Ovis aries: one gene and its partner. The protein of the gene in region 2 interacts with the protein of the main gene of each other region in a pairwise test. Links are inferred from orthologs where the notes say so. Each region holds a gene or a part of one and is shown on either strand. Other genes may lie near its edges.

Evidence for each region.
Region 1: the proteins of CTNNA1 (region 2) and ARMC8 interact in a two-hybrid assay, tested with the Homo sapiens proteins (2 studies listed by BioGRID and IntAct). The link is inferred for Ovis aries from reciprocal best matches to the Homo sapiens genes CTNNA1 and ARMC8.

What each region holds. Positions count from the first base shown.
Region 1 is NC_056054.1:251,534,209-251,540,648, forward strand, and holds part of ARMC8 (armadillo repeat-containing protein 8), read right to left. Parts: intron 4,522-6,440; coding exon 4,450-4,521; intron 3,118-4,449; coding exon 2,975-3,117; intron 2,871-2,974; coding exon 2,773-2,870; intron 1-2,772. UniProt on the Homo sapiens protein: Component of the CTLH E3 ubiquitin-protein ligase complex that selectively accepts ubiquitin from UBE2H and mediates ubiquitination and subsequent proteasomal degradation of the transcription factor HBP1.
Region 2 is NC_056058.1:47,767,212-47,773,651, reverse strand, and holds part of CTNNA1 (catenin alpha-1), read right to left. Parts: intron 2,700-6,440; coding exon 2,593-2,699; intron 1,510-2,592; coding exon 1,314-1,509; intron 1-1,313. UniProt on the Homo sapiens protein: Associates with the cytoplasmic domain of a variety of cadherins. The association of catenins to cadherins produces a complex which is linked to the actin filament network, and which seems to be of primary importance for cadherins cell-adhesion properties.

The DNA of each region.
Region 1 (6,440 bases), on a different chromosome or scaffold from region 2:
TAATTTCAGTCTTCACAAGACAAGACAGTTTATATAAAAGCAGCTTCTCACTTACAGCCCACTCTCTGCCTACTACTGACACTTCACAGCATACATGATGGTACAGAAGAAAGAAGAATCCACCCAATCTGCCTCAGGGCTCTCAAAAAATCTCCTCTTTCATGATTTAAACACTGAGAGGATATTTGGCCCAAACCACAGATGGAAAAGGAGACTTAGCTCGAGTGCCCTAGTCAGTGCTGTCGTAAGTCCTGCAGCAATGCTCTTCAGATACGAACGCGCATTGCATGTATGTTCTCAGGGGATACTCTGTATGTATAGACTGATTCTGTAGGTCTGAAGTACGACTTATGATTTGGCATTCTATCAAACTCCCAACTAATGGTTGATGTTGCTGGTCCACAGACCACACTTTGACAAAAGACAACAGAGGGCAAGGAAGGAAACTTAAAAGAATACCACTGTTGGGATAAACAAGGTTTGGGCAAGATACATAAAAGCTAAGTAGGAAAATAGTAGGCTATTTTTGTAGAAGATGCCTACAAATAGAATCTTTTCCCCTTGCTTGTTATAACCCTGTGTTGTCATAAGCAGTTTAAACACAAAATGAGGGAATTTCCTGGCAGTCCAGTGGTTATGACTCAGGGTGTTCACTACTGTGGGCCCAACGTTCAATCCCTGGCCAGGGAACTAAGATACTGCAAGCTGCTGTGTTACATATCTGCAGTTTCTGGTTGATTAAACAAGGCAAAGTACAGTTACATAATTTCCCCCAAAGTCATTCATCTTATAAACAATTTCAAACTACACATTCTGCCCTCTTCAACAGGATTCTGCGCTCCTTAGTTTAGTGCCTGAGTTGCTATGGCAGCTGGTCTCTATACAATCCTACCCACAGATGTCAGTTAGTTACACTGAAATACTACTCTCTGTCATTATCCCATCCAGCATTTTTTAGAGTCTCCACGGTCTCTGAGGCATAAAATTGTTTCATAATTTAGGTATCCTATGAAAGTCCCTTAAGTCCCTGTGTCTTAATTTTTCTTGCAAAAAGAAGCTAAGTTGGTATATAGCAGCATTCTCCAAATTACGAACCACAATCCATTAGCAGATCATGAAATCAATTTAGAGAGAGAGAAGGAAGGAGCTGAGTAAGTTGACCAGGGTCAATTCCTTCCCCAATACTGGGCTGAGGGTTGGGGAAAAACTTCTAGGGTAAAGAAGATGAGTGATTGGCTTAATTTCTTTGTAAAAATGACAATCGGAAATCCTTAAGTAAACAGACTGATACTCAGATGGAGAGTTCTATATAGAATGCTGTGAGAATGCTTCCTCAATTTAGAAATGCTTACAGTAAACCAGTGGTTCTCAGAGAGTGGACCAGTAGCATCTGGTTTACCAGATACTAAAGTTTACCAGTTACTGGCAAACTTGTTAGAAATGCATATTCTCAGGCCCCATCCCACACTGACTGAATTAGAAACTCTGGAGGTAGGGGTCCAGGATTCTGTGTTTAATACGCTCTCCAGGTAATTTCGGTCCCTGCTCAAGTTTGAGAACCATTGTGGTAAATGGTCTATGGATTTATGAGCCATGGTTCCCCAAAGAATGTTACACAAATCCTCAAGGTATAAAATCAAGATGCTTCATAATTTAGCTCCCTGCTGTGTGAGATGACCCACAAGCCTCATTTACAGACCTTAGGCATCATTACAGGCCAGAGGAGCAAGTGTCTAATATAGGAAAAACAAACTCTGGAGGCACATGACATGTCCCTCTCCCTGCCTGCTTTGCCTATGCCTCTTGACTACTTATATTTTTGAAGTATTTGTAAAACATGACCCTGGACAAGATCTCCAATACATATGTGTCCACTTTGAAACTATGATTCTGCATCTCAGCTCAGAGAATCACAACCAGCATTTTTTAAAATGAAAAAGGATAAAATAGAAGTCAGAAGGCACCACATTTATGCAATTGTTTTGTGAAGACTATCTCAAGATATTCCCACCACCACTCTGCGCCCCCACCTCCCACCCCCCACACACAGTGTGGCCGTAGAAAATATAATTCTACTGTGAATTGTGGATAAGAGAGTTTAAAAAATACTAGCCTTGATAAATTTATTAAGAAAGCCCCAGATAAGCAACAGATAAAAATACACTCTAATAATCCCTGAAGTTTCTGAAAACCAATGAATGACTCTGAAGATCTTTAGATTCTCTCACATGTATTCTCTGATCCTAGCCTGGTAAGTAAGCCTCTAACAAGTGCTTCTGGTTCACCTTTTCAGCTGAAATGAACAATGATTCCCTTCCTGCATTAAACTATTCTGTCCACTGTCCTGCATATTCTCTTTTTCAAAGATGTGCCCTAGAACAGCTTCTTTTCTCTACACTTCTTGAAATCTTATCCATTATTCAAGATCAGGTCAAATTCTACCTTCTCCATAAAGCCTCCTCTACCAGATTTAACCTATAGTGAGTGCATTAAATGTGTTTCCTTTTAAGAAATTAAGAAAGGTCTTTACAAAACAAAAAACAACAAAAAACCCCAGCTTATAAATTTCTCAAGGTCTGGGACTACCTTTCACTGCTTTACAAAGCCTAGAACATTTGATATTTGCAAATTAGCAATTCAAATATTTCTTGAGACTTTTCTATAACATAGTTATCACAGCTAAGATCAGTTATGAGATGCTAAGCTAAGTAAATCAGAAGTATGCTGTTAGTAAAAATGTAACTTGATGATTGAAAAACACCTAAAACTCACTGTATACAGTAGTTCCTCTGGAGTGACGGGACTGGTGAAGATGGTGCGCAGGCATCGGAGGCAAGCTTCAATGAACTTCAGGTCTGGGGACAGTAGTCCTGTTAAGAGAAAACAGATTTGAGACTCATGCTTCCAACTTATATTTAAAACGCTGCAAACTGATTCTACTTTTTACCTGTATAAAAATGACTTCCTTACATACCTTGCAGTAAGGCAGGGATAATATGGCAATCTAGTAGAGACTTAACATTGTTTTCAGTACCCATAGCAAGACTTCCCAATACCACTGCACATTCAGTTTTCAATTCTGTGCTTGAGGTTTCTTGCTGAAGCAAGTACAATAATCTAAAAAGAAAGAACTTGATAAACAGAAGAGACTAAAAAACTTAAAAGTAAACATTAGCTAAAAGTAATGTTACAGAAAAGGCTACCAATACATCCCACACACTGAAAATATGGTAGGTGAGTTTACAGGCTGCTAGGAAATGGTCATATCTTTATATAAGCTGTTAATTTAATAAAGGAATATCGGCAGCGGGGAGAACCAAAAGAGATTTTCTTCTTTGTGAACAACAGAATTATCATACAATCTTAGTGTCAGAACTTCAAAATCTGAGAGTTGTCCACAAGCGATGTCCTGTAGAAACAGCCAGCACGACAGTCCACATTATCTGACACTTCAAGATATGAAGATTCCCAAAGCCAAGTGCTGGTGGATCTTAAGGACCCTGAATATCCACTACCACAGTTCAGAGATCACAGACATCTAGCCTAGAGGGAATACTCAGAGTCCTTGTGCAGCTCTTCAAACAAGGGAAGTTCTCTTCTTTCTCTGATTCTCCTATTTGGGGCATCAAAAGATCCTATTCTATTCTAGGCTAGCCTGTCAAAAAACTACTCCCCAAATTCCAATTGTCTACAACATATGACTATCTCCTTTATGTTCTAAGGTACATCCTTCATGCTCCCTAAAGCATATTTATATATACTGAGCACTAGTCCCCTAAGAAAGGCTGCTGACAGCTTTACAGTTACCAATGGTTGATTATAATAAAAACAACAAAACCATTAAACAATCCTACATTAAAAGACACGAAAGAAAAAAGAAGAAAGAAAAGCAAGACATTTAAAAATTCTGAATGAAAAATTTGTAACTGCACATAAAACTTAATTCTGGGTAGCAAAGGCAAAGAAGCAGTTAAACAATTATCACTGTCTGCCAAAAAGAAGCTTAATAGCTTCATCAGAAGACATGAAACTTTCTATGTTAATTTAAAAGCCAGCAAATTCTAAAAAGCAGGGTCAAAAAATAAATTTTTTTTTTAGTTTCAAAAAAGGTTTTGAGAATCCTAAGAAATTATTATCCCATCATATAAAAGTTGCCAGAGCTCTGAGGAGACCGGGAAGAATCAGGATGGTGTACATTGCTTATTTACCCAACGTGTCCTTTTATGGCAGGGTCAATGATCTTCCCAAACCTGTAAAAAGTATTCATATATTCCACTCCTTGGTATCTTAATTTTTTAAAAGAGATGCTTCATATACTTCAAAGCATTTATTAAAAAAAAAAAAAAGTAGGACAGACAATACAGAAAAAAGAAGGGTCTTATGACTGAGAATGAGAACACATCTGAAACTTCATATGAATAGCAGAAAAGGGGATAGTAGCAAACTTACCTTGGAACAGCTCCTAAAACAATGAGGTTGGCTTTCTGCTTGTTGTTTCCAATTACAGCATTTTTCATGTCTCTGAATTCAAGGAAAAGAGAAAAGGGTAAGATGTGTTGAGATACTAATTTATCTTTATTTTACAGCATCTTGGATTGTCAAGTACGGATGTTAAGTGACAAAGTAAAACCCTGACACTTCTCTGCTTGGAGTGCTAAAGAGACGGGACAGAGACAGGGCTGTGCAACCAGGGGCTATGAAACAGGAGGGCAGCAGTGGAGGGGGAGTGAGAGACAGCCTGAGAATCAGCAAAAGACTTTCAATACAAAGAAAGCCGAGTTCTTCAAAAAAAAGACCACCGATCCTTTGAATAATAAGAAATACAGGCTATCTTCTCATGCATAGCTCTGGGAGTAGGCAGTAAAAGCAGCCAGCCCAAGGAATAGACCTGACCTTGTTTCAGGGACCATGACTTTACTTTCCTCTTTTTCTGACTTCCTTGGACCGAATATTCCTGTGATTCCATTTTATCTCCTTTATTGTCAAACTAGCTGTACTTCTTTGGGTTTTGTTTTGTTGTTTTGTAATGGTAGATTTACAGTTTACAATATGTACCTTTTAACTTATCACAGTCTTCAAGGTATAGTGTCCTACTTCATGTGAACTGTAAGAGCCTTGCAAACATACTTCCATCTTCCCATTCATTCTTTGACCTGCTGTTATACATCTTTAAACTAGTTAGAAACAACATGATATATTGCACTATTTTTTGGGGGGGGGGGCTGCATCATGAGGTTTGTGGGATTTTAGTTTCCCCACCAGGGATTGGACCCCTGCAGTGAAAGTACAGAGTCCTAACCCCTGGGCAGCCAGGGAATTTTCTATATTGTACAATTTTTGCTTAAACAGTCACTTTTAAGGAGATTAAAAAATACAAAAACATCTTTTATTTAAAATTTAAAGATATTTACTTATTTGGCTGCACCAGGTCTTAGTTGTGGCATGTGAGATCAAGTTCCCTGAACAGGTATTGAACCACAGCCCCCCTGCATTGGGAGTAGGGAGTCTTAGCCACTGGACCACCAGGGAAGTCCCAGAAAATATCTTTTATATTTCCCATTTATTCACCAGTATTTTTTACTCTTGCTACACTCAGATCTCCATTTCTCTGGGAGCGAAACTCTTTTCCACAATAAGAGTATCTCTATCAATGACCAGTTGGTTCACAAACACATGGTTGTTCTCAAAGGACAGGCAAAGAAAAAATAAATAGCTCAAAATAAGCCTAGTACTTGGAGAAGGAAATGGCAAGCCACTCCAGTATTCTTGCCTAGAGAATCCTGTGGATGGAGGAGCCTGGTGGGCTGCTGTCCATTGGGTCGCACAGAGTCGGACACGACTGAAGCGACTTAGCAGCAGCAGCAGCAAGCCCAGTACTAATAAAATGTTTAATAAAAAAAAAAAAGGTAATTGGTCAGTAGTGCTATCTTAATATAAAAACACTATGGTTCTCAAACCTTCTTCTTCTTGTGGAAGAAGGCATCAGAGCCTCCCAGGGACATTTCAGATGTTTATGAAGATGTCTGAAAATTTCTGGCCATAGTTTTAAAACAGAAAGCAGTTTTTGCACAATCTTCAAGAAAACTGTATTTTTCAGTATTGTACCTGCTTTGTAAATAAAAGGGAGATTATACTTTTTATTAAAAGTTACTTCATTTTGGAAAATCAAATAAGTGGCACTCATGGTAGATGGGGTCATCAATACCATACCAATATCAGCCCACAGTTTCAGCTCTTGCTTTCATACCTCATTAAGTTTTCTAACATGTTCATGCTTAAGCACTAACATATTGAAACATTATAAGTTATCTTTCTTTCATATGCCAAAATACATTCCCCTAGTTACTTGCTGAGCATCTCTCCTAACTTCTCTTAGGTGGCAGAGCTCTACAACATAGAAATTTTTTGTCAACCATTGAAATTATACTCCTAAAAAAGTC
Region 2 (6,440 bases):
GCCCCAAGAAAGAATGAATCCTGCTGACACCTTGATTTCAGATATCTAGCCTCCAGAATGCCAAAAAAATGAATTTCTGTTGTTCTAAGTTACCAAGTTAGTAGTCATTTACTACGGCAGCCAAAGAAAACTAACACATCCACTCAGCTACGATTATGGAACTTAAGTAATCTCACCATTTTCAGTATTAGAAGTATCTATTTACGAACTCAGAACATTAGGAGATAGCATCTCCATTTAATGCCTTGCCCTTTTTGGGTACTGTCACAGGGATGAATTTGACTTAAGACTCCAGTGGACTATGTATACTGCTGTCAGCCAGAGGGCCACTGAGGCTCTCCCAAAGACCAGTAGAGCTCATGCACAGAGCACGGGAGTCAGTTCCCCTGCCCTGATAGCCAACAGCCCTAAAAAAAAAAAAAAAAAAAACCACCTATGTTTTTGTTGAAGTCCTCTTGCTGGACCAGAAGTTTAACAAAAAACTACAGGTCAAGAAGTTATTCTTTCAGATTTAAAGTCCTCTTATCTAGATAAGCAAAAAGAACCTACTATATAGCACAGGGAGCTCTGTTCAATATTCTGTAACAACCTAAATGGAAAAAGAATATGAAAGAGAATAAAAAAAAATAGATACACGTATAACTGAATCACTTTGCTGTACACATGAAACTAACATTGTTAATCAACTATACTCCAATATAAAATAAATTAAGAAAATAAAGTCCTCTTATCATGATTATTACATCATAATGATGGCAATTTTTCTAACAGTAACCATTGGTAAGCAGTGGGTTACCATTTCACTTCTTATTAATTCTGAGTTTCCCAAAACATGTTTCCTTTAAGCTCACATTTAAATTATTTTAAACTCAAGCCAATGCAAATATGCATGGCTGATTTAACCTATCAGTCTGACAGAAAGAGACACTGCCTAAGTTATTTTCAGAATTGCTAAACATTTTTCTATTTTATCACCCCTGTATCTTTAGCACAAATTAACATATTACACAGGATAAAAGATAAACTTCTGCCCCATATATTTCCCATCAAACTGTGTTAAAACATTCCTACAACTATTACTTAGAACATTGAAGAGAACTGGATTCAGATGCTCCAAAAAAGATGTTCGTTAATCACTCCTAATTAAAGCTTAAGCCAGTACAACTTAATACATTTCCAACAAGTGAATATTTGTAGTTACTTGAGCAACTGGCAATATATAAGAATGAAAATATTGACCACAAAGTCACCTTCAAGTATTATTTTTCTAGAAAAGCCGGGCTCTCTTCATACGAAAAGTGGTATTGACCTACCTTGTTTTCGAACATCTTCTACAGCAGCCACAAGCTCCTCCTTGAGAAACTGACTCTCCTTTGCAATTTTATCCCCCTTCTCCAAGAAATTCTCAGTTGCTTGTTCAACAGATGCAGCCAAAACATGGGCCTTCTTAGAACGACCTCTCTTCTTATTAGAGGGCCCCTTGCTATTGGTGTTTACCAAGGTTGTAACCTAAAAGTTTCAATTTTGAAAATTAAACTGTAGCCAACTAAAATTAAAAGAAAAAAAAAAAACAAAACACTAAGAGTAACATCTTTACAGATAGCAAGAATAAATTACTCATAGTAAAATGAAACATTCCATTTATGAGACTCTAGTATTAACAAATAAGATAAAATTCTCTCCATATTTTAAAATATTCAGCAATGATATATCATATTTACTTTCCAAAATAATTTAGCTATCTCAATATGTAAGTTAAGAAATATAATGAATATTTTAATTTCTCAAACATGATCACTAGGCTTTTAAGCTTCATTTTACAGATTAAAAACAACAAACAAATTACATGTCTCTATTATGGTCATCAAGAAGTTTAGAAAGAGGTTAACAATGAATTTTGGAGTCCAAGAAAATAATTTATTTATAATTTTAAAATATTTATTTTATATTTATATTTAAAATATCTTTATTTATATTTAAAATATTTATTTTCTTGAGCTCCAAAATCACTGCAGATGGCGACTGCAACCATGCCACTACCTCTCGTTTTCGTGCTCGTACAAGGTCTGTCTCCCTCACTCACACACAGACACATACACGTGCCACAATGCTACATGTGCACAGCAAGTTGCTAACAGTTTAATGAAATGTCATCACACTGTGATATTTGTATTTATAACAGAACATACCAAAGCTACGCTCTCAAATTAAATGACCTTCTAATAGATCCTGGACAAAAAAAGGTGTATTAAGCAGGGTGAACAGACTTAATATTAATAGTCAAGGTTCCATATCCTATCTTTCTTAGAAATACTTTTAAGTATTAAGTGGTATGCACTGCATACTACTAGCCCCTATTACTGCCAATCAAGACTGAAGACAACGGCATCAAATATATTTCTAAAAGGCTAAATGAATCCACACATAAATATTTAATTATTAGTGGAGCCAAACTGTCTCATTACTATCAGCCTAAACTCAACCACTCAAATTAAGGCTTTGAACTAAACAACTCTGCCCTGTGTTTATTACCCAGGCCTACAATTATGGAACCATATTATAACAACTATGTATTTGTTTGCAGATTCTTACCTGGGTAACAAGAGGCTCTAACAGTCTTTCAACTGCCAGAGTCCTGATCTCTAGACTTTTGGGGTCCCATTTGAAGTTTATGTTGCCTGTGTGGACAGCAGTCATTTCTGAAAGAGAAACAGCGAGTCAGGCAAATATCAAACACACATATGAAACATAAAAAATCTTCTCCTACTCAAGGACTTTTTTACACCAGAAAGTTACAATCACGACAAGATGAAAGAAATTCTTACCAGCCTGCACATGAGGGCCCAGTAACTCTTACATATAAGATTTTGAGTTTACAAACATTATGGGTACTACAAGAGGGCATTGCCAAATCATGAGCTTTTCCCCTTGGGCTTCTTTGGCACCAAGGCACTTCTACCTCCAGTTTTTTCATGCTAACCTAAAATCAGGATGAAAAGCTCAAGGAAAAGAAGGCTAATACAGAAGATGCTGATCTGTCTTATTCTGCAATGGTTATACTACACTTATTATCTAAAAGGTAAACCTCACTTCATTTTCTGATGGATTCTTGGAGAATATCTTATCTTACTATATTAAAACCTAACATTTCAATCTACTGTCTTCTGCACTGACCGCTATTATCACTCACAGCCCGAAGAAATTTCAAGTCACACCTAGTCAAGTATCACTGTATCACTGTCAAGGTAAACTTCCATTAGACAGAGGCTTTAAGACCAAGGGAAAAGATTTCAGCCATAATACCAAGCAATTGGTGTTTGCTTCTAAAAGTAGTGCCTCAAAGATTAAACAGAAAAACAGGTGAGGTATGTAGATGAGGTAAACACTAATATAAACAAACTGTTCATAGAAATACAAATCTTTAAAGGGTGCATTCTTATGAATTTTTACCTCTTGATTTTTCACTCTAAAGGAAAAATTAAGGTCCATGGAAAAACCTGGGCACAATGATGTTTACAAAAGCACTATATATAGTCATTAAAAACTGGAAACTACCCGTATTTCAAAAAATAGACCACTAAATAAACAAATCACAGAACCAATCACAAAATGGGATACTGTGCTGCTCTTAAAAAACTACATTAACGAAATTTAGGAAGAAATAATAGTATTCTCACTGCCCAGGTCTTTATTTCTATTAAATATTAATTCCTTAAAAAAAAATTTTTTAAGGTATATTCCAGGTCTGATATATCCTATTGTGCAGAAAGCAAGGAAAGACACAATGACTAACAAGAGCATATTAAAAAGATACAAGAACCAAGGGCTCCACTGGCTAAATTCACAAGTTGAATATCAAGAAGATGACTGTAACTGCCTATTCGCCATCCTATGACCATGCATGGTCAGTCGCTTCAATTGTGTCCAACTCTGCAACCCTATAGACCATAGGCCACCAGGCTCCTCTGGTTTGGGCTGCCATGCCTTCCTCCAGGGGATCTTCCTGACCCAACCCATGTTCTCTTGCACTGCAGGTGGATTTTTTACCTCTGAGCCACAGGGGAAGCTCTAATGATCCTCAAAAGGAAAGAAAGGGGTGAGAAGAAAATTTCTGTACAATAAATGTTCAACAGAATTAGAAAATGACCATTTTGTAAACCCCAATGTAATAACTGATTCAAACAAGGACTATCAATGGATGTTAACACCATTAGGCGATAGACTAGTGGGGAACAGACTATTTATAAGGTGCCAAATATCACCTGACAGGTTTTACTTAACTAATTACAAATGGGGCAAGACATATCTTTACAACATTGAGATCTAATGGCCATCTCCTTAAGTAACAAAATTTAGCACTGCTAATAATGCAACTCTGATATTACATGCCTCGGCATGTGAAGTGCCCTATATTCCCTAAAAAGTATTCTTAATGAAAAAAAAAAAGTTTTAGATGTTTTTCAAGAGCCCCAGTATTACTATAAACTGAGCAAAGTTAATTGTCCAAGAGCAAAATGAAAATTAAATATTTAACCTGAGTCTAATGAAGCCTCTGCATAGGGATTCTAAGCCTTTTTCAATGCATGGATCCCTTAAGCAGTCTTGTGAATCTTACAGACTAATGTTGTCTGGTAAAAATACAATACAAGCCACCTATGCAATTTAAATTTTTCTAGTAGCCACATTAAAAAGTAGAAAGAAACTAATGAATTAATTTCAATAATATATTTATTTAACACAGTATATCCAGAATATTATCATTTCATTACATAACTGATTTTTCTAAGTTACTGATTACATAAGATGGTTTACAAAGTACTGCTGCTGCTGCTGCCAAGTTGCTTCAGTCATGCCCGACCATGTGCGACCCCAGAGACGGCAGTCCATCTGTCCCTGGGAAGGCTCCCCTGTCCCTGGGATTCTCCAAGCAACAACACTGGAGTGGATTGCCATTTACTCCTCCAATGCATCAAAGTGAAAAGTGAAAGTGAAGTCGCTCAGTCATGTCCGACTCGTAGCGACCCCGTGGACTGCAGTCCACCAGGCTCCTCCGTCCATGGGATTTTCCAGGCAAGAGTACTGGAGCGGGGTGCCATTGCCTTCTCCGTACAAAGTACTAAGTGTTGGAAATCGAGGATGTGTTTTACACTTAAGGCATATTTACATTCAGACAAGTCACCTTTCCAGTGCTCAGTAGCCATGTGTGGACAGAGGCTTCAGTACTGCACAATGCAGCTATAGACCCTTTCTCAGAATTTTTTTCTTAATGCATAAAATACAATTCAAAAGATTACAAAGGAAATATATATATTGAGATTTAGCTATCAAAAGCAATATATATGCTCTTTATTAACATACTAAATAAGATGTCAAGAATTCTGATAACTACTTCAAAGTAAAATGAACACACACTTTTTCAAAATAGATTACAATTACTTCATGTATGAAAAGCACTGAGATTCCTACTGTTGGGACAAAGTTATAGGTTCAACTGAAGTTGGAGTTTGTTTTCTATTGTTAATAATAAATTCCTATTAATGATAACGAAGACAAAACTTTTCCAACCCATATTCAGTGCAGGTTAAAAAATCCTAACCTGAACTGAATTTCACAGAAGTATATAAGGGATACAGATGCATGTTAAATACCACATGGGAACAGACAATTGGAATATAAGGCATTCTTATAAAACAATGGGGCCTTAACTCTTCAAAAAGTCAGTATGGGGGTGTGGGACATAATTTAGACTAAAAGACTCAGCAGACGAATCTAATGCAAGACACATATCTCATTCGGATCCTGGTTCGAAACAAAACGATATTAAGAAGACATTTGCAGGAGAACTGGTAAATTTTTATATTAAATATTATATTCACTGGAGGAGGAAATGGCAACCAGCTCCAGTATTCTTGCCTGGAGAACCCCAAGGACAGTATGAAATGCATGCTTGGGGTCGCAAAGAGTTGGACACGACTTGGCGACTGAACAACAACAAATTAGATTATATTATGGAATTAATGCTCAGTTTCATAGCTGGCTTCCCTGGTGGCTCAGAGGTTAAAGCGTCTGCCTGCAATGCGGGAGACCTGGGTTCGATCCCTGAGTTGGGAAGATCCCCTGGAGAAGGAAATGGCAACCCACTCCAGTATTCTTGCCTGGAGAATCCCGTGGACAGAGAAGCCTAGTGGGCTGCAGTCCAAGGGGTCGCAAAGAGCACGACTGAGCAACTTAACTTTCACTTTTTTTCTTTCTTTCATAGGTGTGATAATGAACTGCAGCTGTATAGAAAAAGGACTATTTTTAGGAGATGCGTACTGAAATCTTTAGAAATCAAATGTCAGGATGACTGCAATTTTCAAATTCAGCAAAAGTAAACATACACAGAGAGATCACAAATTATTTAAAAATATTCGTAACTATTAAATCCAGATAGAGATCAT